Linked DNA regions of Sus scrofa. The protein of the gene in region 1 interacts with the protein of each later gene in a pairwise test. Links are inferred from orthologs where the notes say so. Each region holds a gene or a part of one and is shown on either strand. Other genes may lie near its edges.

Region 1 (4,155 bases):
ATCTGAGTGGCATCTGTGACCTACACCACAGCTCAAGACAACCCAGGATCTGCAACCCACTGACCAAGGCCAGGGATCGAACCTGCGTCCTCATGGGTGCTAGTCAGATTCGGTTCCGCTGAGCCAGGACAGGAACTTCTCACTTAAGTTTTCATATAGATGTACTCTTAAAAAAATTTTTAATGCATTTATTGAAGTTACCTTTATATCACAGACAGCATAAGTGGTAAATCAGTATCACTTGCCATGAAGAATAAAAATCCATATTTTATTGGGCGCAAGTGTTCTTATTTAGTATTCCAGATAACCTAGCAGGTAGGTGCTTTTATTGTTAACATTCTTATAGCGAGGAAACTGAAGCCTGGAGAGGTTAATTAAGCTACAGGCCCACCCGCACAGAGCTAGAGTGGCAGAGCTGGAGTTCGTATCTCTTCCCGAGAGCTTCACGCTCTTTCAGATTGGCGATAACTAAAAAATAAAGACAATGAAAATTCAAGTGGGTAGACAATTCTAACTGGATCCTGCGCTGCCTTAATGTGAGGCCCGCGCCCTGTGAAGTTAAAGGGACAAAGAAGAGCAGGTCGTGGACAGCAGACACGCACAGAAATCGACAAAACTAGGCGGATGGAGGGGACTGCGAGGGGGGTACCGGCCAGATAGGCTTCGCGGTGATCCCTCGCCCGATGCCCAGCTCTATGCCCACGGGCGCCGAGGCACCTGCGGGAAGGGCGGGGAATCGAGACTCCTTCCCCGCCGCGCCCTCTCCGCCCTCTCCCCGCCTCCTTCCCGGGCGTCCTGAGGCTGCCCCCCCACTCGACGGCCGCGACCCCGAAGGCTGAGCCACCCCAGAACCAAGGCCCCCCCGCGACGGCGGAAGCGCCCGCGGGCCTCTCACAAGGAAAATTAGTCGAGAGCCGCCCCCGGCCGGGCCGAGGCCCTTAGGGCTTCCCGGAAGCTCGGTGAGCGGGTGGCACCACGGTGCCCCAGAGCCGCCGCGGAGCCCAGGCTTCCCCACCTCGTAGGGAGAGCGGCAGAGGCTACGCGACGACCCAGGTGAGCGCGGCGGCAGGTCGGCGGTGGTGAGGGATGCCCACTGATCCCTGGTGCGGGGACGGGCTGGGCCTCGAACCTGGGGCTCTGATTCTCTGCGGCTCCTACCACGAGTTTGGGAGCGCCGAGCGCTGCGGTCATTGGCCCCGTCGCAAAGACCGCTGTGGTCGCCGCGCTGAGGCTGCGCAGCTGGGCGACAGCTAGCGTGGGCGGGGTGGGGTGGGGAGCGGCCCCTCCGCTGTCCCCGCCGCTCGAGGAGGCCGGGGGCCGCCGGGACTTTTATTCTGACACGGCCGGCGCCCGGCTCTGCTTAGTCATGGTGACCTGCGCGCGTTCCGCACCTCCCCCCTGCACGCTGCGATGGAGGCGCCTGGGCCTGGGCGACGGAGGCGGAGCCCGAGAGCGGCCATGGCGGGGTGAGTGAGGCGGCCTGCGCCCGGGCGGCGGGTACCGTGGGCCGTGAGTGCCCTGCGGCCGTGCCTGGGGGCCGGAGAACTGCGCGTTGCGGGCCGGTCGCCTCGGGGTTCCCGCGGCTCCGCGGAGGCCAGAAGGGTGCGGTTCGAGTCGGAGCCTTTTGTTGGACGGCGCAACTCGCGGGGTGGCCCGAGAGCGACGCAAACCGAGCCAAGGGCCCAGGGAGCGCCGCTCCGACCAAGGCCGGGGGATTCCGGGACGTTGGGGGGCTTGGTCTTCGCCCTGGGGCTGGCAGTGGAGAGGCGGCGGCGGGGTCACTTCCTCCCTTTTCCAGGCCTTGGCAGCTCAGGCAGGACATGCGCAGTCTCCCACTTACCGCTTCATGGGGGTGGCGGGGGAGTGCCCAGGGCCCAGGGGGCACCGTTGGCCGATTGGCCCATGACCAAGAGGCCGGCCTGGGCCTCAGCTGGGGAGAGGCGGCCATGGCCCGGTGGAGGAGGGTGATCTGGCAGGCACACTGGAGTGGGCAGTCAGCCAGCCATAGCTCATTGACCCCTGCACGGTGCCAGATCCCAGGCAGAGAGGCACAGGAGAGGATGGGCACAGCCCTGACCTACACAGGGCTACCTGTCCTCAGAAACCTGGGGGCTCAGGGCCAGACGGATGGGCCATCCTTCAAGGAGGAAGCAAAGGAGCTCATTTCAATTCTTGACAAGTGCTGTGATGGAAATAAAGCAGGGAGGAGGTGACTGAGTTGAGCCCAGGGAAAGATGAGTTAGAGAAACTTGGGGAGCCTCTTGCAGATTCCCTCCTCCCTGAAGGACTTTTCAAAACACAGCTCCTGCCCTGGCTGTCGAGTCTCCACAGGTTTCTTGGAAACCCTTCAATAGTCATTATGCTCATTATACTCCTTACCGATTTTTCAGATTGCCTGTCATTCTGCCTCTGAGCCTTTGCACTTGCTCTCTCTCTGCCTAGAAAACTCTCATCCCACCCCCACCTCCTTCATATGTTCACCCCTCTTGTCTCAGCACCAACAGAGGCCTGGAATACCTGAGTTAAAGTAACTGCCCTCAAGTCACACTATCACAATGTGCTGTCATTTCCTTCAAAGCCTCAATTTTTGCTCAAGTCTTGCTTATTTTACTTATGGCTCCTCCATTCCCAAGTGTCAGCTCTAAGGGAGCACAGTGTATGTCAGTCTTACTCACTGCTGTGTCCCTGGTGTCTAGAACTGTGCCTGGTAGTGGTCCACAGTAGATGCTCAATAAATGTTGGTGAGGTGAATGAAGGAAGGAGATGGATATGCCCTAGGAAGGGAAGGACCATCAGATAACTGGAACAGAATGAGCAAAGGGGACAGGTGGACAGGAGCTGATTGTGAAGGGCTTTGCCAGCCATTGAAGAGTTTGGTTTTACTCTGTGCCACAGGGCTTGGCGGGGGGCAGTGTGGGGGGGATTCTGGCAGGGGAGGGACATCATCTGACCTATGATATAAGGTGGACCCTTGGGCTGGTGAGGCCATTGGGCAGTTAGCACAGATGGACACTGCTTCACCTGGGCTTGGGAAGGAAAACTGGTCTAGGAGTTGCTTTATTTTAGAAAAGGCTTGGCCCCAGGCCCTGCCCGCAGCCCTGTGCTCTCCCTCCTCCAGGCCTCTGAGTGCCAGTGGTGGTGTTGTCCCTTGTCATCTGGAACCCCATGCAACCGGAACCCAGGCCTAGTGGGGCTGGGGCACACACCCAATTTCTGCCCCTGAGGTCACAGCGCCCCGAAGGGGCAGGGGACACGGTGATGTACGCCTCCACGGAGTGCAAGGCTGAGGTGACCCCCTCGCAGCACGGCAACCGCACCTTTAGCTACACGCTGGAGGACCACACCAAGCAAGCCTTTGGCATCATGAATGAACTGCGGCTCAGCCAACAGCTATGCGATGTTACGCTGCAGGTCAAGTACGAGGATGCACCAGCTGCCCAGTTCATGGCCCACAAGGTGGTGCTGGCTTCATCCAGCCCTGTCTTCAAGGCTATGTTCACCAACGGGCTGCGGGAGCAGGGCATGGAGGTAGTGTCCATTGAGGGGATCCACCCTAAGGTCATGGAGCGCCTCATCGAGTTCGCTTACACGGCCTCCATCTCCATGGGTGAGAAGTGTGTGCTCCATGTCATGAATGGTGCTGTCATGTACCAGATTGACAGTGTGGTCCGTGCCTGCAGCGACTTCCTGGTGCAGCAGCTGGACCCCAGCAATGCCATTGGCATTGCCAACTTCGCCGAGCAGATTGGCTGTGCCGAGCTACACCAGCGTGCCCGAGAGTACATCTACATGCACTTTGGGGAGGTGAGTGAGGGCAATTGACATGGATCCAGGGCTTGGGAGCAGTGTCTGAAGAACCAAGGACAGATGGGAGCTCATTTCTTTTTGAGATGTGAAAGGTCAAGGCAAGGAGCTGGAGAAAAATGGGGTTCTGAATTCTTATTCTACACATCTTGGGCAACTCTGGGGAACAGCTCAAGAAAGTGAGGCCTTCATAGGTCCCTGGGCTCCTGGTTTCTCTGGGGTCAAAGGTGGGGACAGGGTGCAGTGAGTACGTTGGCATTTCCACACTGGGGTGCACTGAGTAGGGCCCGACATTTCAGGCCGTCAGCAAATATTTATTGAACACCCATGATGTGCTGTAGACCGCAAGTG
Region 2 (4,204 bases), about 3.0 Mb from region 1:
GGGTTAAGGATCTGGCGTTGCTGTGGCTGTGGTGCAGGCCAGCAGCTGCAGCTCTGATTTGACTCCTAGCCTGGGAATTTCCATATGCTAGAGGTGTGGCCCTAAAAAGCCAAAAAAAAAAAAAAAAAAAAAAAAAAAAAGTGACTCCTTCAATGGGATACTCTTTGATATATTTTAATTTTGACTGGTTTGAGTGCTGAGGACCACAGCTCCAAAGCGCACTCCAAACACTGCAAATTATCCTGTTTATTTTAATCATAATAATCTCCCTGGTGCACCATATTCTCTCAAGAGCTTTAAATGTATATTCACAGCCGCTAACCACCAAGCAGAATATCTCCCTAAAACATCAGAAAAGGAACAAGAGAATGACCAACTTAAAGATGGTGAACCTGAAGCCAGTCAGGACCTGTGAATATCACAGAGGTTAAGCAAAAATATAAAAACCTATGAACACCATGCAAAGGAACAACAAAAACTACAATAACCTCAAACACAGCAGTGGGTAATGGCTCTCACACCTGAAGTGTTTTTTTATTTGTTGGTTTGGTTGGGCCACCCTCGCCCCCATGTGGAAGTTTCTGGGCCAGAGATCAAACAGGCGCCACAGCAACAACCCTAGCTGCTGCAGAGACAAATCCTTAACCCACTGAGCCACAAGGGAACTCCTCAAGCCTTTTTTTTAAATTTTATTTCTTTTTTTTTTTATCTTTCCAAGCCTTAAGTTTTGATTACACCTCTCAGTCAAGCTGAGAGTCCAATCAAAAGAGGGGCACTGTTTAAAAAAAAAAAACCACAGGCCCAAAACGGAGTCACTTGGACTAGGGCCAAGCCACCAAAGCAGGGCCTAATACCTAACTTAATTGAAGCTTCAACCTCCTCCAAAAAAATGTAGTTTTAAGAGTTCACTCAGTATTTTTCTGATCAGCACCAAACGCATTAGTCTGTTACAGAGTGCCTCTCCCGTCTCCATCCCCCAAAAAGAAGACGAGGTAACCATCACCTAATAAGACCCTTTTTTCCCCAAAAAGGAAGTGACTTAATCTAAAATAATCCTTTTTTCTTATGACTTCCTTGCCCTGCCTTCAAAAAACTTTCCATTTCCGTAGCCCTTAAGAGCCCCTTCCCCCCCTTGCTAGATGGGATACTGCCCAATCCATGAATCGTTTGATAAAGCCAATTAGAAACTTAAAATTTACAGCTGTTTTTCGTTTTTTTAACACCATGACAACTAGGATCCTCACCTCAGCACTTTGTTAGGCCTCCGTGGGTCCGACATACTGTTAGCGGACATAGCGAGTCAGAAGTCGCGCCTCTTCCGCTGCGGGTGTCGCAGCTTCTGGCAGCTTCCGATGTGGAAACGGAGGAAGGCTTTTGGAGTAACGCCCTCAGCCCTCGTGCTTCCGTTCCTAACGGCGGGGGCCGGAACTCTCCCAGCTAGGGGAAAGAATTGGAAGCCAAAAGTATTCCTAGAAAACAGGAAATGGGAAAAGAAAGTGAAAACTGGAAACAGGCTTCAGTATTCCCAATATTATCTCCAAAAAGCTGAAACTATTGAATCCGGAAGTGATAAATAGGAAGTAGACCATAGAGGACAATAATAAGGTTACACCCAGAGCAAGGAAAGCTTCGGTGGCGAGGAAGGGAGCCGAGTGCGATGGCTTTCCCTGAGCCAAAGCCACGTGGCCCGGAGCTGCCACAGAAACGGTTGAAGACATTGGACTGCGGGCAGGGGGCTGTGCGAGCCGTGCGATTTAATGGTGAGCGCCCTTATCTCATTCCGGGTCCTCCTCCCTCCTCCTGAGATCGGAGACCCAGTAACCCCTGCCTGGTGTTCCCCAGTGGATGGCAATTACTGTCTGACTTGCGGCAGTGACAAGACCCTGAAACTGTGGAACCCGCTGCGGGGGACGCTACTGCGGACATACAGCGGCCACGGCTATGAGGTGCTGGACGCGGCCGGGTGAGCTGAGGGCCAGGCCAGAATATGGGCGCTGAGGCTGTGATCAGAGGTCGACGTTAACCTTCCCTCCTCTGCCCTCTAGCTCCTTTGACAACAGCAGTCTCTGTTCTGGCGGCGGGGACAAGGCCGTGGTGCTGTGGGATGTGGCATCAGGGCAGGTCGTGCGAAAATTTCGGGGCCATGCTGGGGTGAGTGCAAGCAAGAAGGTGGCCTAATTGGAGAGGATGGTCATTTGCATGAAGGTGGTGACAGGGACCACCATTTGCTCAGTTACAGCACAAGGATCCTCCCCTTCCCCAAGGGTCGTCTTACCAAGCCCTGTCCTTGTAGTTCCCCACAAACCTTTCACCTCCCCTACCCCTAGCTTTTTCCCTTGCCTTTATCCCCATCCTCCAAAGTCCAGCTTCTCTAAATAGCAGTTCCATTTCACAGAAGGTGAACACAGTGCAGTTTAATGAAGAGGCCACAGTTATCCTGTCTGGTGAGTGCGGGGCCTAGGCAGGTGGGCCCAGGGTGCTGCTTCTGTCCCCCAAACCTGATCCACCTTCATGCTGACCACACAGGCTCTATCGATTCCAGTGTGCGCTGCTGGGACTGCCGCTCTCGGAAACCTGAGCCAGTACAGACGCTGGATGAAGCCAGGGATGGCATATCCAGTGTGAAGGTGTCGGACCATGAAGTCCTGGCAGGGTGAGTGGGGCCAGGACCTTGCCCCTCCCCAGGTGCCAGGAGGGATCGTAGCTGCTTCTGTCCGAAAATTAAAATCTGCTCTCCTCGCTTTGCTTACAAGGCCCTCTATGGTCTAGTCCCTGTTGTACTCTGAGCTTTTATTCATTCCTGGCCTCATTTCTGTTAAATATGCCACACATGCTCCCACCCCAGGACCTCCTTTTGCAATTGCTCTTCCCTCTGCCTGGACCGCCCCTCTGCTACTCATTCAGAGTATATCTGAACACCTCCTGCAGGTCACTTTTTTAGTCAGTGAGCATACAGCAATGAACAAGATAGGGAAATAAGGAAAAACACCTGCCCACATAAAGTCGACATTCTAGCTACAGGAGGCAAACAACTGAAAAAAAAAAAAAAAAAAACCACGCAGAGCTGCCTAAGCATTGCCACAGCCTGAGTGTCATTTCACACCTTGAGTGGTGGGGGAGCATTTGGACTGCACAGCCTGTGGGCTGGCCCACTTCCCACACATCTCCACTTGGACTGCAAACGGTTGGCTCCTTCTCATCCCCAAGTCCCAATTCAGATGCTACCTCCTCAGGGCGGGGATTACCCTCAGTCATCAAGGCTCTATGTTGGCAGCAAGTGCCTCTGGCTTGGCAGCACCTGTGTCCCCAAGCCCCCACATGGGGTCTGGCCCTGAGAGGGAGCTTGGTACAAATCCAAAACAGATGGAACGGGACCTGGTTGGCCCCTAGGTCCGAGTCTCAAAGCCAGTGCCTCAGGGAGCTCCCGCTGTGACACAATGGGATTGGCAGCATCTTGGGAGCCACTGGGACACAGGCCCAGCATGGTGAGTTAGGGATCAGGCATTGCTGCAGCTGTGGCTTAGGTCAAGACTGTGGCTCCAACCTGATCCCTGGCCCAAAAGCTCCATATGCTTTGGGCCAGCCAAAAATGACAAAAAAAAAAAAAGCCAGTGAAGTTCCTGTTGTGGCGCAGTGGTTAACAAATCCGACTAGGAACCATGAGGTTGCAGGTTCGAACCCTGGCCTTGCTCAGTGGGTTAAGGATCCCACGTTGCTGTGAGCTGTGGTGTAGGTTGCAGACGCGGCTTGGATCCCGAGTTGCCGTGGCTCTGGCGTAGGCCGGCGCTACAGCTCCAATTTGACCCCTAGCCTGGGAACCTCCATATGCCATGGGAGCGGCCCAAGAAATGGCAAAAAGACAAAAAAAAAAAAAAAAAAGCCAGTGCCTCAGAATTCCACTCATGAATTCACTTCAGTGCATGCAGTGCATGTTTTCCATGGCCAGTCCTGAGCATGACATGACATAAAGGGTACCCAGGAAGGGCAGGCACCCAGCCTTGCCCTCAGGGCCCTGGCAAGGTGAGGGGGTACAGGGATACCAAGGCTGGAGCCATGGACCTACTAGGCCCTGCAATGCTGCAGGTGGATCCACTCTTTGTTACAGCTCCGTAGATGGCCGGGTGAGGCGCTATGACCTGAGGATGGGACAACTCTTCTCGGACTACGTGGGCAGTGAGTATGGCTGGAGCTGCGGGGCAGACAG
Region 3 (4,097 bases), on another chromosome or scaffold:
GAATAGGCAGAGTTCTAAGGGCGTCCTCAAAATTTGTGGCCTCCAGGGAGCCTATCCTATAGAATCCCTCCACTTTAGTGTGGCCAGAGTAGTGATTATTAGGAGTTATCACTTTGAGGATTAAGTTCATCAAAGAGGAAATTATCTGACTGGGTCTGACCTAATCACTTGAGCCTTTAAAAGGGACCTCCCAGAAGTCAGAGACTGGAAGCCTGAGATTTATGGAAGGGCTACCTGGCAAAAGCACAAGACTGGCCTCTGCCAACAGCTGGCAAGCCAGTGAGGACATCAGTCCAAGAACAAGGATATTAAGTCTACCAAGAACCAAGGGCCTCAGAAGAGGACCCCTGATTTTAGGTAAGATCCCACTTGCAGACAAATACCCTTATTTCAAACTTGTGAAGACTACAGTAGAGAACTCACCTATGCCACGCCATGCTCCTGACTGAAGGACTGATAATAAATGGGTGTTGTTTTAAGCCACTCATTTGTGGTAATTTATTATGCAGCAATAGAAAACTAATACACTCAGGCATTTTTTCATACAATTAAATAACATTATGTAAGGTGGTTAAGTTTTTCAGATTTCATTTTACATTTTTTCTACCCACTTTAAGAATAAACTTGTTTCAAAACAACTGACATGCACATTAGTTGCGCGCTATCTCTTTAGTACTTCTCATCCTAACAATAAAATTCAAAATTCACGGAAAAGTTCTTCAGTGTTGAAAGGCCTTTTTGGTGAAGTGACCTTACTCCTGACCAGTCGCCGAAGGATGGCGGGGTGCAGAGTGCAAGCTGGACCATCAGAGACAGCCTCAGGCTGCCCCCAGACTGAGCCTAGCAGAGGGTCGGGGTGAGGAGTAGACGTGAGCTTTGCCCAGAACAGACAAGGGAAAGAAGAATGGACGCAGTTCATCCCTTTAATCCCTAAACCAATTTCTCAGGAAAAGCCGCGCGCCCACAAGTAATCAGGGTCTCTAATAAAACTGTGGTGCGCACGCAGTAGCTTTAGAAACTCCCAAAGCATCTGAGGAGTTCCGCCCGCCCACTAAGAATCACTGGGGCTACTTAAGGTACAGCTAGCAGACAGATCGGAGCATTTTCAAAATATCTTTCAAACTCAGGAGTTGTGCTCCTTACCCCTTCTGCCTGAAGACTCAAGGCGCGGCCACTAAAACCGCGATATACCGTCTTTGCCGCAAGCCCCCAGCTAGCCAACCAACTACCGCAGGAGTTCCACAAGGAACCCACCGCGACGCAACGACTCAACAGCGTGAGCACGTCCACCCACTGCGCAGGCGCGAAGAGCGGCTACGCGAGGAAGGAGAAAACAAGCCAGACCCCGTGGTGTAAGGGCGGGGCCTAAAGGCTCGTTGCGCCTGCGCGAAAGAGTCGACGGCGTCCTGCGTCGTTACTTTTGAAACCGGTGGCGGGGAACTACTCTGGAAGTCACTGGTGTGGCTGGTTGCCGCGTGAAAGCGCGTCTCTTCATCCGTGGGCCTGGCCATGGCGCTGCAGCTCTCCCGGGAGCAAGGCATTACCCTGCGCGGGAGCGCCGAAATCGTGGCGGAGTTCTTCTGTAAGTCCTTCTCGCGCAGGCCGGAGAGCGGGGAGAACTGTGCCCAGGCCGCCAAGTAGGCCCGCGGCTCGGTACGGTGGCGGGGAGAACCCATTGGGTCAGAGCGGACGCGAATCCGAGCCCTCTCAGTCTCAGCGTACTGCCAGGCAGGAGGGATCTGGAAGAGGCGGATGCAGGCGCCTCTTCCGGATGCGTTGCTAATGGTGGAGGAGGCGGCCTAGGTTCTGCTGAGGCCTGCCTGGCGATATAACCGCTTAGCCGGGAGCAAACCCCATACCCACCCCGAGGTGAATCAGGATTGACGGTAATGGGCTAGACTTGGGGAGGCGTTCTTCTGGACCAGGCCAGTTGCACCTTCTGATAGAACCTGGCAGGACTTGTGAGAAGAAAAGGAGGAAAAAAAGGAGAGGATTGCCTGGGCGTTGGACGACTCAGTTGCTTCTTTTGACATCCTCTAACCATAAAGTCTGAATTTAGAATTGTTTTACAATGAAATGAAATTTGGCACTGGTAGATAAATGCAGTTTGCCATGTTTCTTTTATTGCCACTTAAATGCAGATACCACTTTTTTGTTTAGAAGCAAAATTTTAAAGCTTTTTAATTTCACTTTGTACCTTTGAGCAAAACACAAACGCGTGTTTAAACATTTACAGCTTTACACCATTAATGAAACCATAGCCACATGACTAAATATGTTTTATTTCTCAGAATTACAAAATGAAAATGACTTTTAACATTTCTTTTGTTTTCAGCGTTTGGCATCAACAGCATTTTATATCAGCGTGGCATATATCCATCTGAAACCTTTACTCGAGTACAGAAATACGGACTTACCTTGCTTGTAACTACTGATCCTGAGCTCATAAAATACCTAAATAATGTGGTGGAACAACTAAAAGGTATTTCATTGTTGGAAACAGTTTTGAGTTTTGCCAGCATTCTAGGATCCATTTTCTAGCAGCTTGCTGGTCATTTTTCATCTGTATACCTGGTGGTGTAAAACACACTACCATCTCAAATATAGTGAAATAACTGGGAGGAAGAAAATAAATCAAAAAGAAGTCCCATCTTTACCCCATTTTGAGTGGGCTGAATATTTTCATGTTAGGAACGCGATACGGCTTAATGAAACAATTCCCATCAACTCCTTTAGAAATGAGTGTTGCAGTTTATGTGACCAAATGGAACATGTTGGAATTTTACATAATTATATTGGTGTTCATTATCTGAGAAAAATCCACTATATATATATTTGTAGCTGCATGGAGTCTAAAGCCATCATTAAGATGAAGGAAGCAAAACTGAATTCAACCTGGGGACTAAACTTTAAAAAGAACAACTACCAAATAACAGAGCACCATTAGAATTTTCTTACTTTTCACCTGTTTCCATTGTCTTGTCTTAAATCCTACATGTGAGTCTGAATACTTATTTTTTCCTTTTAGCTCAAGAAGTGTCAGTATTGTTTAATTAATACTTGTTCTCCATCTATTCCTCTTCTTTCTTCTAAAATTTCTAGTTTCTCTTTCATGTTTGTCTCCACCTAGGGTTCTCATTTCTAATTTTTCTGTGTTGTAGGATATTTTTCCATATCCACACATTGATCTTCCAAAGTTCTAAAAAACACTACAGCCCTCATCTTTATTTATTTTTTTTTTAAGTTTTTACTGAGGTATAGTTGATTTACAATGTTGTAATAATTTCTGCTGTACAACACAGTGATTCAGTTATACATGTATACACATGCATTCTTCTTCAGATTTCTTTCCCATGTAGCCCATCACAGACTGTTTGGTGGAGTTCCCTGTACTATACAGCAGGTCCCTATTGGGCAAGCATTCCATATACCTCAGTGTGCATATGCCAATCCCAAATCAATCCCCCACCCCATCCCTCTTCCCCCACTTCTCCCCTTTGGTTACCATAAGTTTTTCAAAGTCTCTGTTCTGCAAATAACTTCATTTGTATTTTTTTTTTTTTTTTAAGATTCCACATTAAGTGCTATCATGTTTGTCTTTCACTAACTTCACTTAGTATGATAATCTCTAGGTCCATCCATGTTGCTGCAAATGGCATTATTTCATTCTTTTTTATGGCTGAGTAATATTCCATTGTATATATGTACCACATCTTCTTTATCCATTCCTCTGTCAGTGGACATTTATGTTGCTTCCATGTTTTTAATTTTAAATGAATCTTTTTTGTTTCAAGCAGCTTGATTTTTTTAACTCAATGAATTTTATTACATTTATAGTTGTACAACAATCATCACAACCCAATTTTACAGCATTTCCATCCCAAACCCCCAGCCCATCCCCCAACCCCCAACGTGTCTTCTTGGAAACCGTAAGTTTTTGAAAGTCTGAGTCAGTATCTCTTCCGCAAAGAAGTTCACTGTATCCTTTTTTTAGATTCCCCATATAAGTGATAGCATATGACATTGGTGTCTCACTGTCTTACAAACTTCACCTAGTATGATAGTTTCTAGGTCCATCCATGTTGCTGCAAATGCCA
Region 4 (4,004 bases), on another chromosome or scaffold:
TGATACGAACAGAGACCTAAGTTATATAGAGAGAAAGAAAAAGAGACATAGCTAAACAGAGACACAGATGCTACATAATAGAGTCTAATGCAATTGAATATGACTCCATCTTTCTGCCTGTTTCTTCACCCAGGATTTGGATAATTACATCCACTTTTTCTACATTTAATAACAGAAGGAACTTAAGACTACTACACTGCATAAACATAAAATATGATTACAAAGACATACCCTAAGGCTGAAACACAGATTCACAATTTCTGCCAAACTTCTCATCCACATTTCCAGTTGTTTGCTGGGCCATCACAGATGTCACAGAGACTCCTCAAGTGCTTCAATACCAAACAGAACAGCATCTGTCCCTCCAATCCTATTATTTTTACTGTGGTTCCCACCTTTGCTTTTGCATCGCTGTCTTCCCCAGTGCCTAGAACAGGAGGGTTGATTCCTCCGAGAAACAGCTATTCCAACATGTCTGCTTAGAATGACAGACCAGGGTCAACTTAAACTTGTCCTTAACATCTATGAGGTAAGCTGCTATGTTAGAAATGTCTCAAATCCATCTCTCTCCTTTCTACTTTCACAGCTTTAACTTAGCCCCCCCCCCACTTTTTTTCCCCCCGCCACTTTCAAAACATGTGAAAGTTCCCAGGCCAGGGATCAAACCTGTGCCACAGCAGTGACCTGAGCCACTGCAGTGACAATGTCAGATCCTTAACCTGCTTGTGCCACAAGGGAACTCCTAAGCTTAGCCTCGTACATGCCATTTCTATAGCATTCTCTAAACTGGTCTCCTTGCCCTAAATCTATTTCCTCTTAATTTGTCTTCCATGCTGGCACCCAGTTCTCTCCCCAAGTACCTCAGATTTGCAAGGGACTCTCATCTCCACCAACTAAGAACTCACTACTTTCTGAAGTAGCCCCATCCATTTACAGAAAGCCATTAGGGACATGCCTAAAGCATACTCACTACCTTGCTCATAAACCTTCCGTGGGTCCCCTTGTTACAAAACAAAAGTCAGGAGTTCCCGATGTGGCACAATGGGATCAGTGGCATCTTGGAAGCACCGGGAAGAAGGTTCAATCCCCAGCCCCCTACAGTGAGTTAAGGTCTGGCATTGCTGCATCTGTGGTTTAAGTCAGGTCTGTGGCTCAGATCTGATCCCTGGCCCAGGAACTCCAAATGCTGCAGGGTGGCCAAAATAAAAACAAAAACAAAATTCAAACTTAACATGGTATGCAATACCTTCAACCTGACCTCAGCCTACTTTTAGTCTTTTCTCCAACTGTGACCAAAATCCAAAACTCCAGCAACACCAAACCACTGGCTCACCCCCAATTAATCTCTACATACCCCAGTTTCTATGCCCTTGCTCACACTGTTCTCTCAACCTGCAATGCCCTCTCCTGGGTTCACAGTAATTTCTCCCTTCCCTATGCTTCCACAGTCCCCTTGTTTGCATCTTGATGATGGCACTGATTACAGTCTACCTGAAATAACAGCTGTCACTGCTTGCCCTCACTCCCACTCCAGTTAAGCTGAGCATTTTCAAAGCAGGGGTTTTCTTTCTCCTTCTTCTTAAAACAATTTCTATTCTAAGAACCTAAAGTATGAGGGCTAAATTAGAAAATCCATACAAGAATGCTCTGTAAACCATAATACATTTCCGAGTAAAAAATAATGTTATTTGAAATTTAGTGGAATCAGATCTTTTATTCTTGCTCAAAATGCTCTTAATTTGTAACTCCCTTGCCTGAGTGGCCAGTTGCAAATCGTAATTTACCACTTTGGTTTTGTTTCCTCTGTATAACCTAAGGGACATGACCCCTCTGCAGGTGGAGAAAAGGGTTACAGTAAGGAAATTAGCCTGGGCATGTAACTGATCCAAAGAAAAGTGAACCTGCAGCCCTCACACAACTACAGTAGCAGATGATCCAAACCAAGATGGGCATATCTGCCTGACAGAAGAGACATGGTTAAGCACTGTCGGAGAGGTAAGGGAATGGAAAAGGCTCCATCCAGAGTGCTAGACCAAGGGTCCTGAGAGTGAGGGTGGGTCCAAATAGGTCGAAGGCAACCTGCAGCAACTCTGGGAGGATGACACGGGCCTGCCACAATCCGTTAATGCCTGCTTGCCAAGAAGGAGCTATGACAACACATCTGCTTAGAATCGCAGAGCAGGGCATGACCTAAACTATTCCAGGGACACAGTGGCCTCTAACACTGAAAAGATTCCCTCCTTCAGGGAAACCCCACTTTTCAGTCTTATCAAGGGATGTGACGTCGCTGGACACCTCAAGGCGGTATAAAAGGCTTTCAGACGTCCCTCCTGCCAAGGATTCCACGAATCTCACTCAGACAACTGGGCACCAGGTGCTACCTGCAAGCGAGGGACCCTCTGAACCTCCTGCCTCACCCAGCAAAGCTGGATCACAACCCTTCTCTCTCAGGCAAACCTCTCAAGGGCTTGTGGTGCTAAAAGGAAAGGAGACCTGAGATCGCCAGGGTGCGTGTGGGTTCCAAGGAGGGAGCCGGGAGTCACTGCCCGCTCAGGCTAACAGTACCGCGGACGGAAGGCAGGCACTGACGCGGCCCAGTCCTAGGAGAGGAGAAGAAGCGGAGCAGCAGGGTCATGGAATAGGACAGACGCGGGGCTTCTCTTTTCCTGGGCACCAGCGCCGGCTTCCCTGTCCCCTTACTGGGGTCTTAGGCTCCACAGCGCCCCCCCACCGCCCTCCCGCGCTCCTCACCGTCTCCATTGCGAGACGCCGGCTGAGTTCGTTCGTTTTAGGAAGCTCGCCCGGGGCGGGGGGCGGAGAAGGCCCCGCCCCACGTCCGGTACCGCAAGGCCACTTCCGCTTACGTCGGGACACACGCAAGTCAAGAGCGGAAGGCGGGGAGCTTACCCTTCCGGCGTTGCTTAGCCTCAGAAACCGCCCTCCCCCGGTCCACACTGGGACCTCGCTGATCCCACCGACGGCGAGGGTGACGGGACGGAGCCGCTTGTATTTAAAATGTTCTTTTTTTTATTTGTCGTTTAAAAACAAACTTGGAAGAAGCAAAATCCAAAACTTGCCCTTTGCCTCTTGCAACATAAATTATGTACAGTTCAGAATGATCGCTGATACAAAACATGCCAAGGACAGGGGCGCTGGGGGTGGAGGGAGAGAGGGCGCTTTAAAAAAGGGAATCATTTCATCCGTTGTTACGAAGGACCAACCTTGCTGTACAGGATACACACAACACAAAATAAAGTCTTCACGGGATTCACACTTGTCAGAGATTTATTTTTTAAAAAGGGGGAGGGTCCTGGAGGTGAGGGGAGAAGACCGTAAAGGGGAAAAACTGAAAATTGAATATGTGCAAGTGTAAACCAACCCAAAATACAAACACGGGGGTGGGGGTGGGGGAGGGAATTCTGATGCAATTATACAGGCGGGGTACTTAAAAAAAAAAAAAAAAACCAACAACCAAAATTCCAACCTTGTAGCTTGGGTCTGAGTTAGTTTATATAAAAATTAAAAACTGTATAAGGTTTCTTCACTAAATTCTACAGGACTATCGGATACCTAGCATACGCTTACAAAGTCTGCCCCATCCCCTTTTCCCAATCCCAGGGCCCAAGCCCCAACCAGGGCCTGACTCACTGGAGCCAAATCTCCCCATCCCTGGAGCCTAGACCTTTTGCTCTTGGAAAAGGAACATCCAATGGCTTTGGGGTCAGCAGCCCAGTCTCCCCACTGTCTGATTTCATTACAGTGGTTTCTGTGGGGGTGGGGGTGGGGGTGGGGGTGGGATGTTATCCTCTTAAACATTTGCAGCTTGAAACAGTTGAGGAAGCAGCTTAAAAAAAAAAAAAAAATCTCCCTACCCCCATCAATCCGCAACCCCCCAAATTCAAAAACAAAACAAAAACAAACCTAAAATCACAACAGCGACCGTGCTCCCCCTCCAGCAGGCCTGCCCACACACCGCCACCAAGCCCACCCCTACACTCCAGATA
Region 5 (4,159 bases), on another chromosome or scaffold:
TGTGGGGTTGGGGACTCTATGGCAATGAGGGAAGAGACCCTCGCTCCCTGTCCCACCTCAGCCTCACAACCAGCCACATGGAGACCGCGAAGCGCTGGGGCTCCCCTGTGCCCCCCATGCACATACGCTGGTCACCCCTCTTGACACACCTACACTCCACGATGGGGTGAGAACCCTGGGACTCCGCATAACTAGCTCTGCCTGGCATCTGCTGCCCCACTTCCTGTGCCCTGAACTTGTAATCGCTGCCTGGGGCCCCCAAACTCCCAACCTGCCTCTGAGCTCTAATCACCTCCACACGCCTATAAAGGTGGCGTCGGACCCAGACCCTTCAACCCTGCTTCGATCCCCTAAACCTGGCCCCTGGCCCCCAGTCGCGGGCGTGACGCCGAGGGACCCGAAGCTTCCACAACGTGGGGACATTCTTTAACAAGTGAAAAGTTTACTTTTCTGGACTTCCCAGAACCGCGGGCACGGGCCTCCATCCCCGGTCCGCACGCTCCGCGCCTGACTGGGGCGAGGGGCCGCCCGCGGCCTGCGCAGCCGCGCTCTCCGAGCCGGGGTCGGGGGCCCGGGGCGGGAGGGCGGGGGACGGGGCCCCCGGAAAGCGCGAGACTTTCGCGAGAGTTCCAAGCCACGCAGGCGCACTGCGGCCGGCGCGGGCGCGCGCGCCGCGGCCGCGGAGGACGGGGCGCGCGGGCGGGTCTCCGCGCGGGCCTGCGCGCGTCCGGGGAGAGGCGGGAGGCGGCCAGGGCGCAGGCGCGGGCGCGCGGCCGCGGCGGCGGTTGGGGAGGGTTCTTCCGGAAGGTTCGGGAGGCTTCTGGAAAAGGCGCCGCGCGCTGGGCGGGCCCGCCTCTATATAAGGCAGGCGCGGGGGCGGCGCGCCAGTTGCTTCTGCGTCCTGGTGCTGCGTCGCCGCGGAGCCCGTGCCGTCCTTCAGCCAAGGTGAGGGGGCGGTTGGGGGGCTTCGGGGGCGCCTGGGGGCCGGCGGGCGGGCCCCGAGTCCAGCCCCGGGGCGGCGGGGTGGCGGGGCCGGTGCGTCCGGGCGTCTCGCAGGCCGCGGGCCTGCCGCGGCCTCCCCTCCCCCCGCCGGCAGCGGGCGGGCCTGGGCCGCGGCGGGGCCGGGGCCGTGCGGAGGCGCGGGCCGGGATCCCTGGGCCCCCGAGGGAGGCGAGCCCCCGGCCCGGCGGGCGGGCGGGGGCGGCGGCGGCCGGCCGGGGGCCCCAGCAGCTCGGGCCGCCGTGCACACGCTCGGGGCCTGGGCCCGGAATGAGGTCATCCCTTTGTCAGCCGGCGGCCCCGGATCCCGCGGGGACGGCGGCGGCGGGCGCGCTGGAGCCGGCTCGGTGTCCCTTCCAGATGCCCGAGGAAACCCAGACCCAAGACCAGCCGATGGAGGAGGAGGAGGTGGAGACGTTCGCCTTCCAGGCGGAAATCGCCCAGTTGATGTCGTTGATCATCAACACTTTCTACTCGAACAAGGAGATCTTTCTGAGGGAGCTCATTTCCAACTCGTCCGATGTAAGTTGCCTTCGGGATTGGGCTTTGGTGTCGGTGTGAAATGCACCATTTTGGGGTTTCGGGCGTAATCATTTGCGGGTTTTGATAGGCTTTGGACAAGATCAGATACGAAAGCCTGACGGATCCCAGTAAACTAGACTCCGGAAAAGAGCTGCACATTAATCTCATTCCGAACAAGCAAGACCGGACCCTCACGATAGTGGACACCGGCATCGGAATGACCAAGGCCGACTTGATCAATAACCTTGGTACGATCGCCAAGTCTGGGACCAAGGCGTTCATGGAGGCTTTGCAGGCCGGTGCCGATATCTCCATGATTGGCCAGTTCGGTGTCGGCTTCTACTCTGCGTACCTGGTCGCTGAGAAAGTGACCGTTATCACCAAACACAACGATGACGAGCAGTATGCCTGGGAGTCTTCTGCAGGAGGATCTTTCACCGTTAGGACAGACACAGGTAGGCGTCGGTGGAGGGTGGGGTGCTGTAGACACTGGACCCCAGGAGATACTGTGCAATTTGTGTTAAAGATTAGAAAAAAAAACCGTTTTTGTTTCCCTGAACTGAGATAGCCTGACGTCGTGGTTATTTATCTCGGGCCTGGCCCTTAATTGCTCAGGGACTATTTTCTTCTGTAGTAATCTTGCTCGGGACAGTTCAGTGTTATCTGTGGCTTTGAGAGCCGAATGGGGGCTGCTTTAGTTTTGATTAGGGTCTTAAGATTGAAATTGAGTTTGTGTCTTGCCTTTTCAGGAGAACCTATGGGTCGTGGAACAAAGGTTATTCTACATCTGAAAGAAGACCAAACTGAGTACTTGGAAGAAAGGAGAATAAAGGAGATTGTGAAGAAACACTCTCAGTTTATTGGCTACCCCATTACTCTCTTCGTGAGTATTTGTGCATTTTCTTTGTAGACAGCCAAGTAAGTGAATTGAAATCCTTGCTTTTTAGGAAGAGATCCAAACTTGAGTATTGACTCAAGACTAGTGAAGCGCTCTCTCTTACTGTGTTGGGGTATCTAGGGTTATTTATGTGGCTTTATGAGGAATTGACCAGAAGCTTCCTGGCTCCTGAATGTTTCTCAGTTGGGTGACGAGGTTTTGGTGTCCATGCTGTAGTTCCTTTTAGCTTACTAGTTTTTTAATTTTGGGGGGGAAAAAGGTGATGATTTTGTGTTTCTTTTTAAGGTGGAGAAGGAACGTGATAAAGAAGTCAGTGACGACGAGGCGGAAGAAAAGGAAGACAAAGAGGAAGAAAAGGAGAAAGAAGAGAAGGAATCTGAGGATAAACCAGAGATAGAAGATGTTGGTTCTGATGAAGAGGAAGAAGAAAAGAAGGATGGTGACAAGAAGAAGAAGAAGAAGATCAAGGAGAAGTATATTGATCAAGAGGAACTCAACAAGACAAAGCCTATCTGGACCAGAAACCCCGATGACATCACTAATGAAGAGTACGGGGAGTTCTATAAGAGCTTGACCAATGACTGGGAGGATCACTTGGCTGTGAAGGTGGGTGATTGCTGAAGCTGGCGTCAGCAGGTTGTCTGCCCCAAATGGGTAAACGTGAGGGTACTTTCTGGCAGCTTTCTCTCCCTACCCCAGCCCGGCGTCCCCCCAAGTGCTTTGTGTGACCGCAGATGTGTAGCTGTCAGGTAGCCTCACTTGTCAGCAGGAGTTGCTTGTGGTATGTGTTGCTCACGGCTGTGTTTTATTGCAGCACTTTTCAGTCGAAGGGCAGTTGGAGTTCAGAGCCCTTCTTTTCGTCCCAAGACGCGCTCCTTTCGACTTATTTGAAAACAGAAAGAAGAAGAACAACATCAAGCTGTATGTTCGCAGAGTGTTCATCATGGACAACTGCGAGGAGCTCATCCCTGAGTATCTGAGTAAGTAGAGTTGAGCCTAAGAAACGACGGCTGTCAAATTCATCCTGTCAACCCCGTGCCACGCGCGCAAGTTCCTGGGCCAGGGGTCACACCCACGCCACAGCAGAGACCCGAGCTACTTCAGTGCGTTGCCAGATCGTTAACCCACTGTGCCACCAGAGACGGAATTCCAGACTTGGAAATGCATGGGGAAAACTGCGTTCTCTTTGGGTTTAGCTGTTTGTTGATTTTTGTCGGAGTGATTTTGAGTGCATTTGGCATGCTTTTCCAGATTTCATTAGAGGCGTGGTGGACTCTGAGGATCTTCCTCTGAACATTTCTCGTGAGATGTTGCAACAAAGCAAAATTTTGAAAGTCATCAGGAAGAATCTGGTCAAGAAATGCTTGGAGCTCTTTACTGAATTGGCCGAAGATAAAGAGAATTACAAGAAGTTCTATGAGCAGTTCTCTAAAAATATTAAGGTAGGTAATCGTGTGACAACAGCTGTAACCAAACTACTTCTCCTTTTCAATGAATTTGTTTTTAAGGCCAAGTTTTGTTGAAGCTACCATTGTTTGTTTCAGCTTGGAATACATGAAGATTCTCAAAATCGGAAGAAGCTTTCCGAGCTGTTGAGGTACTACACTTCTGCTTCTGGCGACGAGATGGTTTCCCTCAAGGACTATTGCACCAGAATGAAGGAGAACCAGAAACACATCTATTACATCACAGGTAAGGCGAGATGGGTGTAATCGTCATGCCTCTTGCTCTGGGATTCCA
Region 6 (3,500 bases), on another chromosome or scaffold:
GCATGAGGGGATACCGTGGGGCTGGCCTTGGCAGGGGTGGGGTGCTCAGTGAGGATCATCTGACTGCCCGAGGCTCTCCTGGGATTGAGGCGGCTTGCTAGGATCAGCTGAGAGTGGGCATTCTGGCAGGGATGGATCTTGAGGTGAGCCTGGGCTTTAAGAGTTGTGGGTGTTGAGGCATCCTCTTGCCTCAGCCAGGGAAGGGGGAATGGCTCTAGGACAGGCTGGAGATGGCCTTTCGTTGTCATTGGTTGCATCAGGTGGTTGCAAATGCAGGGATTTTCCTTTCCAGCCCACCCCACCCCTTTATGCAAATGAAATGGCACCACAGGCTGATGCAAGCCTGGCCACTGCGAAGCAATTCTGCGTGACAGTTCCCCCTGGCTTGCTGTGGCCGGCTTCCTACAACCCAAGTTTCAAGGGATTCCCATTCCCAAAATGAGACGTGTCTCCTGCTTCCCCCTTTCTTCTTAAGTAGTGGTGAGATGGTCCTGCCTTTTGGCCTGGCTGTGTCTCTGGTCCAGATCCTGAGCCCACAGACCTGTACGGTGGGGATGGGATGTCATGCTCGTGGGTTTTGCTAGCACTTTCTTTTTGGAGGCTTGTGTCTGGAAATGGATGAATGAAGCCTTGCTGGTACAGAGGGGGCAGAGGTAGAGGCTGGCAGGTGTGTAGCCAGGGAGGGGCCCTACCCTGGAGTAATCGGAGTGGTGCTGGGGGGGGGAACCTCTGAGGGGCAGGACTGGGAGGGGCCCCTGGACCGCACAGCTAAAGTCACAGTGCTCTGTCTTTCAGGATATAGATCTGATTGACATCCTTTGGCGACAGGATATTGACCTGGGGGCTGGGCGTGAGATTTTTGACTACAGTCATCGCCAGAAAGAGCAGGATGTGGATAAGGAACTGCAAGATGGAGCAGAGCAGGAGGACACCTGGCCAGGCGAGGGTGCAGAAGCTCTGGCACAAAACCTGCTAGTGGATGGAGAGACTGGGGAGAGCTTCCCTGCACAGGTACTTCTGCCTCTGCCCACTTCCGGAAACGTCTCTTTAGAAAAGGCAGCTTGGGTCTGTGGGGTGGGCCTGAACGTATGTCTTGGGTTGGGGTCTTGGAGTCCGAGTGAAGGGCTGAGGAAGCGGGAGTGGAAGAGCAGTGGCAGCAGAGGGGCCACGCCTTGGGGAGGAACAGCACACGGGAGGCAGAGCACCTGGCAGCTTTCTGTGTGTGTCAGGACTCTCCCACTCTCTTCTCTCCTGGAGTCTGGGACTCAAGGCCAGCCGAGCCTGGGAATGGAGGGACAGTGTCGGCCTGCAACCAGCCACACGGGGCCTCCTTCAGGCTTCCCTTGGAAAGACTGGGGAAGGGCTTTGGCCCACAGGCAGCCAAGGCCCAGGGCAGTCAGACTTACAGTTGCTGTTGCCACAGGTGCCTGGTGGGGAGGACCAGACAGCCCTGTCCCTGGAAGAGTGCCTTAGGCTGCTGGAGGCCACCTGCCCCTTTGGGGAGAATGCAGAGGTGAGCAGGACTGCAGGGAGAGCCCACTGAGCCAGCAGGGCAGCCTGCACACGGTGTGTTTCTCTGAGGCTGCCTGAGGGGCCAGCTCTTGGTGCTGGCCTTGTCCTGGCTGCTGGGGGTGAATTCTGAGGAAGGAAGAAACAGAACCTCAGGTGGTCGTTTCTGGGAGGAAAGCAGAAGGTGGTCTTCCTCCTCCCCTGTTAAATCCTCTGTGTTTTGCCCTAGTTTCCCACAGACATTTCCAGCATAACAGAAGCAGTGCCTAGTGAGAGTGAGCCCCCAGGTCTTCAAAACAACCTTTTGTCTCCTCTCCTGACGGGGACAGAGTCTCCATTTGATTTGGAACAGCAGTGGCAAGATCTGATGTCCATCATGGAAATGCAGGTAGGCTGATCAGAACCCGGTACAGACCTATCGGATTGTGTGGGGGGCGTCCCCGTGCTCGCTGCTCTTCTACTTCTGGGAAAAGAAAGTCAGAACACTGAGCAGTGACTGTCCAGGCGTCTCCTTGGGGCAGTAGGGGGTGCAGTAGAATTGGGGTTTGGGTTAAAGCCCTAGGGCTGAACCTCCTAAAGCAGGTCTCCATCCTTTTCTTCAGGCAGATAATGTCTTGACTGGGTGTTTCCAAGATGTAGTGTTAATAAAAGCGGACATTCCTGCAGTGTCGCACAGCTGTTGTCTGCTCACTTGGCCCCCATGGCCTTTTAGTCAGCCCTTTGTTATTTCAAAGGGAGGACACTGGAGCTCAGAGAAAGGCCCAGTGAAATGCTGCTGGTCACACAGCAAGTGGCACAGCCAGCCTTTCTCACTCCAAGGCTGGGTGTTCTTTGCGCATCGCTGATTGTGCGGTGGAGGGTAGTCATTGTTAGGTGTTGGGGCGATCTGGCCAAACGAGACCTGGAGCTGATCAGTCCTGCGTTGGGGTGAAGTCCACAGGGAGGAGCCCATCTCTGCCGGGCCTGCTGGATCAAGCGGGGCCAGGAGTTGACACTGTGGGTTCGGGTTTCCAGGCTCGTGCCTTTACATTCATGCAGCTGCGCCTGTGCAGGGCGCCTGCTAAGGGAGCCCCCAGCCACACCTGGGGAGGGCGTCGGCGCTGAGCCGGCAGTCACGCTCGTCTCCCCTCCCAGGCCATGGAAGTGAACACGTCAACGAGCGAAATCCTGTACAACGCCCCTCCTGGAGACCCGCTGAGCACCAACTACAGCCTTGCCCCCAACACTCCCATCAACCAGAATGTCAGCCTGCATCAGGCGTCCCTGGGGGGCTGCAGCCAGGACTTCTCCCTCTTCAGCCCCGAGGTGGAGAGCCTGCCTGTGGCCAGCAGCTCCACGCTGCTCCCGCTGGTCCCCAGCAACTCCACCAGCCTCAACTCCACCTTCGGCTCCACCAACCTAGCGGGGCTCTTCTTTCCACCCCAGCTCAACGGCACGGCCAACGACACCGCGGGCCCCGAGCTGCCTGACCCCCTGGGGGGTCTCTTAGATGAAGCCATGCTGGACGAGATCAGCCTGATGGACCTGGCCATCGAAGAAGGCTTCAACCCCGTGCAGGCCTCCCAGCTCGAAGAGGAGTTCGACTCCGACTCAGGCCTCTCCTTGGACTCCAGCCACAGCCCCTCCTCCCTGAGCAGCTCGGAAGGCAGTTCTTCCTCGTCCTCGTCCTCGTCGTCCTCGTCCTCGTCCTCCTCCTCGTCGGCTTCTTCCTCCGCCTCTTCCTCCTTTTCCGAGGAAGGCGCCGTGGGCTACAGCTCTGACTCTGAGACCCTGGATCTGGAAGAGGCCGAGGGCGCCGTGGGCTACCAGCCCGAGTATTCCAAGTTCTGCCGCATGAGCTACCAGGACCCGTCCCAGCTCTCGTGCCTGCCCTACCTGGAGCACGTGGGCCACAACCACACGTACAACATGGCGCCCAGCGCCCTGGACGCCGCCGACCTGCCGCCGCCCGGCGCCCTCAAGAAGGGCAGCAAGGAGAAGCAGGCCGACTT
Region 7 (4,195 bases), about 63 Mb from region 1:
GTCTGCAGCAGGACAGCCAGGCCTCCGTACCAGGCGGCCCGTGACAGGTGGTGGGCATAGAGGCGCTCTGTGGGCGACAGCAGGCGGAAGGCCTCGCGGCAGTCCAGGCTAGACACGCCGATGTCATTGGGGAGGATGTACTGGGTGTCCGCCATGGGCCCTGCTGAGAACCATCACCACGTTCACAGTCGTCACTTAGCACATGCCAACTGCACACCTGGCTCTGTGCTCTCACAGCCTCATTTAATCCTCCCCAAAGTCCAGGAGGAAGGGAACACCATGGTACCCATGCACCAGAAATGCTAACTGAGGCCCAGAGACGATTAGTGACCCACCCAAGGAGATTACAAAATATACTGGGAGGCAACATTTGGCCGGTGGCCTCTCCATCTTAAAGATGGAATCCAACTACCTAGTGTTACAGATGGGGAAACTGAGGTCCAGAGGGACTAGGAGGCAGAGGTCAGAAGCAGAGATCTGTGTCTCTACTCCAGCCCAGGCCTCTCTTCACCTCCCCTCCTCCTTCATTCTCCTGCAAGTGTTTCAACTCTGCCCACGGCTGTGTTCACAAGGACAGACTCCCTGCAGGAAAACCCAGGTTCCAATCCTGGCTCAGCCCCAGACTCCCAATATCAAGTCCACTGTTCCACTTTTTTTGTGCCTGGATTACTGACTCCTTAAAATGAGGTCGATAAAAACCCCAGGCTCGCAAGATGGGTGTGCCAATTAGATGAGGTCACACCAGATCGCATGGAACTTATCTACAGCAGTAATGATTTTCCTTGTTCCCTTCCTCTCTCCGAGCCCAGGATCGGTTCCACTTTCACCTCTCTGCCTTTTCTTTGGCCCTCCGTCCTCCTGCCCTCTCTCTGTGCTCAGCCAGGGGAGATACCGGAGCCACACAAGTTCAGAGCTGGGAGAAAACTCATTTTACAGATAGGGAGAGTGAGGCTTAGAGAAGCCAAGCAACTTACTGAAGGTCTCACTGCCCCGTTGGGACCTAGCTGTCTCCCAACTCAGGATATGCTCCACAACGCCCTCCCTTACTGAGAATGAGTTTCTAACCTCACTCGCCAACCCCGCTGCGGCTCCGGAATAGCACGACTCCCTGGGTTCTGAAAGGGGTGTTAACCCTTTGCTGCCCGGAGCGTTCCTTGGCCTCGTGGCCGCGATGAATCTGAAAGGGGTACCGGATGAGAGGCAGAAAGGGAGTGATCTTGCGCCCGGTCCAGACTCGCCCTGTCTCCCGAGAATGGCACGCTGTGACCCCGAAACCCGGGCACCGCGCCTCACCTGCCGCAGCTGCTCGGATCGCAAACTCACTTCCTGCTTCCGGCTCCCCCATTCATTGGGCTCCGCGAACTCCGCCCCCACCCGCCAATTGCCGGGCCTCGGGGCTCGGATGGGCGTCGACTCCAGCCAATAGGCGCGCCGAGGGGACCTCCGCCGGCACGCCGGCTTCCCGCCCCCAGGCGCTACGGGGCCCTGCGCGGCATGGCCCTGCGGCCTTGGCCTCTCGTCCGCCGGGGGCGCTCGCGCGGGGGTCAGGAGTCTCCCGTGGCCGGCCGGGTGGTGGCCTAGTTACGACAGACTGGGCTGACCAGGTGCCCCGAGTCCAGGCCGGGCGGCGTGGCTGGCACGGACAGGGCACCGGGGATTTCCCCACAGAGAGTCCTGATCCCCGCTCTCTTGGGGGGTTTTCTGCGTCCTCCAACCTCTGTTTTGTTTGTAGGAACCTGCCCCTTGGGAGTGATGCCCCTTCCTCAGTGGATTCAAGGGCCGGGGATGGAGACTCTTCCGAGACTGTATTGCCTTCCGCGGGCTCCTGCCAGGGCCGAGTTGGTCCCACTGTGCGGAGATGCGGAGAAACGCCCCCGAGTGCTTCCCTGCGCCGCTTGCCACCAGCCTGGAGGGGCAGCAGCTAAATATCATCGAGCCGCAGTTTCCTCAGTAGAAAGCGGCAAGGGGCTTAGGAGTTTGCCGGTGCTTGCCGGGTTCCCGATGGGTGAGAAAGGCGCCTGTGACTGGGAAAGTTTGCTCAGGGTAGAGTCCATCCTGAAATCCGCTCTTGCATGTCTGGACAGACTCCCAGGAGGCTGGCCTGAGTGGGGAAAGGTTTGCGGAAGTGCCTAGTGACCAGCCTGGGCCCAGTGCAGAATACTGTGAGGGTCCCAGGTCAGAGAAAGGGGCAAAGCCAGGCCATCTAAGGTGGAATCAGGCTTCCACTGCCTACTGGCTGAGTGTCCTTGGAAAGGTCACTTTACCTCTCTGAGTCTTGACTTCCTCAGCCAAAACACCGAGCTGAAAATTGTCTTTACTGGAGGGATGTTGAAGGCTTGAGTAAGGTACTGACAGGGTAGTGCTGCCCCCTAGTGTTGTGCAGAGAGGACTGGAGGAGAGAGGACACCTGAAATCCACAGACCTTCCTTGCCGGGCTTTGCCACACTTGTGTCTATGCCCAGAGTTAGCAGCCGCCCACCACTGGTGCTGGTTCTCATTCACAAAAGGTGTTCAAGGCCCTGCTGAGCACAACCGTGCTGCTAACTGGTGATTTTGATGGTAATTATCACTATAGGGAGGAACTCAGAAAATAGCACCCCCCTCTTTTCTGTGCCTCAATTTTCACTGTCTTTAAAATGGGTGTAAAGCCTTCCCTGACTTGGATAAAGGAGGTAGTGCTGCTCATTGCCACCAGGGGGCAGCTTAGGCCAAGGAAAGATTCCAGTACTCCATGGAGCACCCCCAACCAAGCTGCTTTTTTTTTGCTTTTTAGGGCCACACCCATGTCATATGGAAATTCCCAGGCTAGGGGGCTAGGGGTGGAATACATGCTACAGCTCCTGGCCTATGCCAGAGCCACAGCAACACCAGATCTGAGCTGCATCTGTGACCTCTGGGCAACGCCGGATCCTTAACCCACTGAGCGAGGCCAGGGATCGAACCAGCAACCTCATGATTCCTAGCCAGATTCGTTTCCGCTGTGCCATGATGGGAACTCCCCAAGCTGCATTTTTAATCATCACAGCTAATACGAGCACTTCCTGAAGTACTGTGCTAGCGGCTTGACTTGGAGGATCTCATTACCTATTGTACATATGGGGAAAGTGAGGGTAATGGTTGTACTGACTTCCCTAAGGGTCCCTAGGAAGTCCTCGGGTGTTCCTAAAGTGGGGTCTAGACCTACTTAGACCTAACGACACAGTATCCCCCCACGTGCCCCAACACACACACACACACACACACACACACACAGTATCACATGGTCCACTCCCTGGAGTCATGACCATCCCCAGCCTTGGCTCTTTCCCATGAGAATGAAGAGGGATAGGTGAGAAAGTAACATTCAGTACATACAGGCAGTTCCCATCATGGCTCAGTGGGTTACAAACCCGACTAGTATCCACAAAGATGCGGGTTTGATTCCTGGCCTCGGTCAGTGGGTTAAGGATCTGGCGTTGCCATGAGCCATGGTGTAGGTCTCAGATGCAGCTTGAATCCTGTGTTGTTGTGGCTGTGGTGTAGGCCAGCAGCTGCAGCTCCAATTCAACTCCTGGCCTGGGACCTTTCATATGCTGCAGGTGTAGCCCTAAAAAGCAAAAAAAAAAAAAAAAGTACATACCATGTTACGGGTACTCTCCATACATTCACAACCATCTGGTGATGCAGGGAATGTTAGTCCATTTAACAGTTAAGAAGACTGAGGCTTCAAGAGTTGGAAAGGAGCAGAGCTGAGCCAAGGCCAGGGCTGTCTGGCCCCCCTCCACCAACATGTCTGAGTTCTTCCCCTATCTAGTTCCCAAGAAAGTGAGATGAAATCTAGGAAGAATTGAGTTCCTACTGCTCCGGATGTGTGTGCGCGTGTGTGTGAGAGAGAGTTGCAGTGTCTCCACATCCCCCCAGCATCCCATCTGGGTTCCCCCTCTGCAGCAGCAGGATGCTCTGGAATCAAAAATCTGATCACGTCCTCTTCTCACCACCAGCACGCATCCCCTGTCCTCTCAACAGCCCCAGGTGTGGTCTCTGTGGCTCCAACCAGCTGCGTGGATTGGGCCAGGTCCCTTCCCTCGGAATCTGTTCTCCCTCAGGCTCTGTCTTCCACTGGGGAAGATGCCCACATCAAGCTGGTACTCTTTTGATTTTTCCAGAATCTCCATCTACCTGTCTTTCCAGCTTTCTTGCCCCAGGAAAGGCCTGG

The links.
Region 2: the proteins of KEAP1 (region 1) and WDR83 interact in binary tests that used the Homo sapiens proteins (3 or more experiments, as listed by UniProt). The two-hybrid records come from large-scale screens. The link is inferred for Sus scrofa from reciprocal best matches to the Homo sapiens genes KEAP1 and WDR83.
Region 3: the proteins of KEAP1 (region 1) and MAD2L1 interact in binary tests that used the Homo sapiens proteins (3 or more experiments, as listed by UniProt). The two-hybrid records come from large-scale screens. The link is inferred for Sus scrofa from reciprocal best matches to the Homo sapiens genes KEAP1 and MAD2L1.
Region 4: the proteins of KEAP1 (region 1) and PRKAG1 interact in binary tests that used the Homo sapiens proteins (3 or more experiments, as listed by UniProt). The two-hybrid records come from large-scale screens. The link is inferred for Sus scrofa from reciprocal best matches to the Homo sapiens genes KEAP1 and PRKAG1.
Region 5: the proteins of KEAP1 (region 1) and HSP90AA1 interact in a two-hybrid assay, tested with the Homo sapiens proteins (2 studies listed by BioGRID). The link is inferred for Sus scrofa from reciprocal best matches to the Homo sapiens genes KEAP1 and HSP90AA1.
Region 6: the proteins of KEAP1 (region 1) and NFE2L1 interact in binary tests that used the Homo sapiens proteins (3 or more experiments, as listed by UniProt). The link is inferred for Sus scrofa from reciprocal best matches to the Homo sapiens genes KEAP1 and NFE2L1.
Region 7: the proteins of KEAP1 (region 1) and DPP3 interact in binary tests that used the Homo sapiens proteins (3 or more experiments, as listed by UniProt). The two-hybrid records come from large-scale screens. The link is inferred for Sus scrofa from reciprocal best matches to the Homo sapiens genes KEAP1 and DPP3.

The regions. Positions count from the first base shown.
Region 1 is NC_010444.4:69,286,710-69,290,864, reverse strand, and holds the start of KEAP1 (kelch-like ECH-associated protein 1), read left to right. Parts: upstream 1-1,355; 5' UTR 1,356-1,466; intron 1,467-1,472; exon of another isoform or gene 1,473-1,602; intron 1,603-3,118; 5' UTR 3,119-3,165; coding exon 3,166-3,804; intron 3,805-4,155. UniProt on the Homo sapiens protein: Substrate-specific adapter of a BCR (BTB-CUL3-RBX1) E3 ubiquitin ligase complex that regulates the response to oxidative stress by targeting NFE2L2/NRF2 for ubiquitination.
Region 2 is NC_010444.4:66,310,040-66,314,243, reverse strand, and holds the start of WDR83 (WD repeat domain-containing protein 83), read left to right. Parts: upstream 1-1,404; 5' UTR 1,405-1,657; coding exon 1,658-1,760; intron 1,761-1,842; coding exon 1,843-1,963; intron 1,964-2,045; coding exon 2,046-2,151; intron 2,152-2,395; coding exon 2,396-2,444; intron 2,445-2,526; coding exon 2,527-2,653; intron 2,654-4,105; coding exon 4,106-4,173; intron 4,174-4,204. UniProt on the Homo sapiens protein: Molecular scaffold protein for various multimeric protein complexes. Acts as a module in the assembly of a multicomponent scaffold for the ERK pathway, linking ERK responses to specific agonists.
Region 3 is NC_010450.4:103,926,061-103,930,157, forward strand, and holds the start of MAD2L1 (mitotic spindle assembly checkpoint protein MAD2A), read left to right. Parts: upstream 1-1,297; 5' UTR 1,298-1,509; coding exon 1,510-1,582; intron 1,583-2,335; coding exon 2,336-2,482; intron 2,483-4,097. UniProt on the Homo sapiens protein: Component of the spindle-assembly checkpoint that prevents the onset of anaphase until all chromosomes are properly aligned at the metaphase plate.
Region 4 is NC_010447.5:15,046,820-15,050,823, forward strand, and holds the start of PRKAG1 (5'-AMP-activated protein kinase subunit gamma-1), read right to left. Parts: upstream 2,801-4,004; 5' UTR 2,761-2,800; coding exon 2,752-2,760; intron 2,681-2,751; exon of another isoform or gene 2,494-2,680; intron 1-2,493. UniProt on the Homo sapiens protein: AMP/ATP-binding subunit of AMP-activated protein kinase (AMPK), an energy sensor protein kinase that plays a key role in regulating cellular energy metabolism.
Region 5 is NW_018084979.1:919,178-923,336, reverse strand, and holds the start of HSP90AA1 (heat shock protein HSP 90-alpha), read left to right. Parts: upstream 1-1,359; coding exon 1,360-1,521; intron 1,522-1,609; coding exon 1,610-1,976; intron 1,977-2,270; coding exon 2,271-2,404; intron 2,405-2,704; coding exon 2,705-3,025; intron 3,026-3,233; coding exon 3,234-3,399; intron 3,400-3,670; coding exon 3,671-3,861; intron 3,862-3,963; coding exon 3,964-4,111; intron 4,112-4,159. UniProt on the Homo sapiens protein: Molecular chaperone that promotes the maturation, structural maintenance and proper regulation of specific target proteins involved for instance in cell cycle control and signal transduction.
Region 6 is NC_010454.4:24,309,881-24,313,380, forward strand, and holds part of NFE2L1 (nuclear factor erythroid 2-related factor 1), read left to right. Parts: intron 1-795; coding exon 796-1,011; intron 1,012-1,423; coding exon 1,424-1,513; intron 1,514-1,738; coding exon 1,739-1,897; intron 1,898-2,643; coding exon 2,644-3,500.
Region 7 is NC_010444.4:5,945,220-5,949,414, forward strand, and holds the start of DPP3 (dipeptidyl peptidase 3), read right to left. Parts: upstream 2,801-4,195; 5' UTR 1,346-2,800; coding exon 1,294-1,345; exon of another isoform or gene 1,066-1,293; intron 995-1,065; exon of another isoform or gene 975-994; intron 164-974; coding exon 1-163. UniProt on the Homo sapiens protein: Cleaves and degrades bioactive peptides, including angiotensin, Leu-enkephalin and Met-enkephalin. Also cleaves Arg-Arg-beta-naphthylamide (in vitro).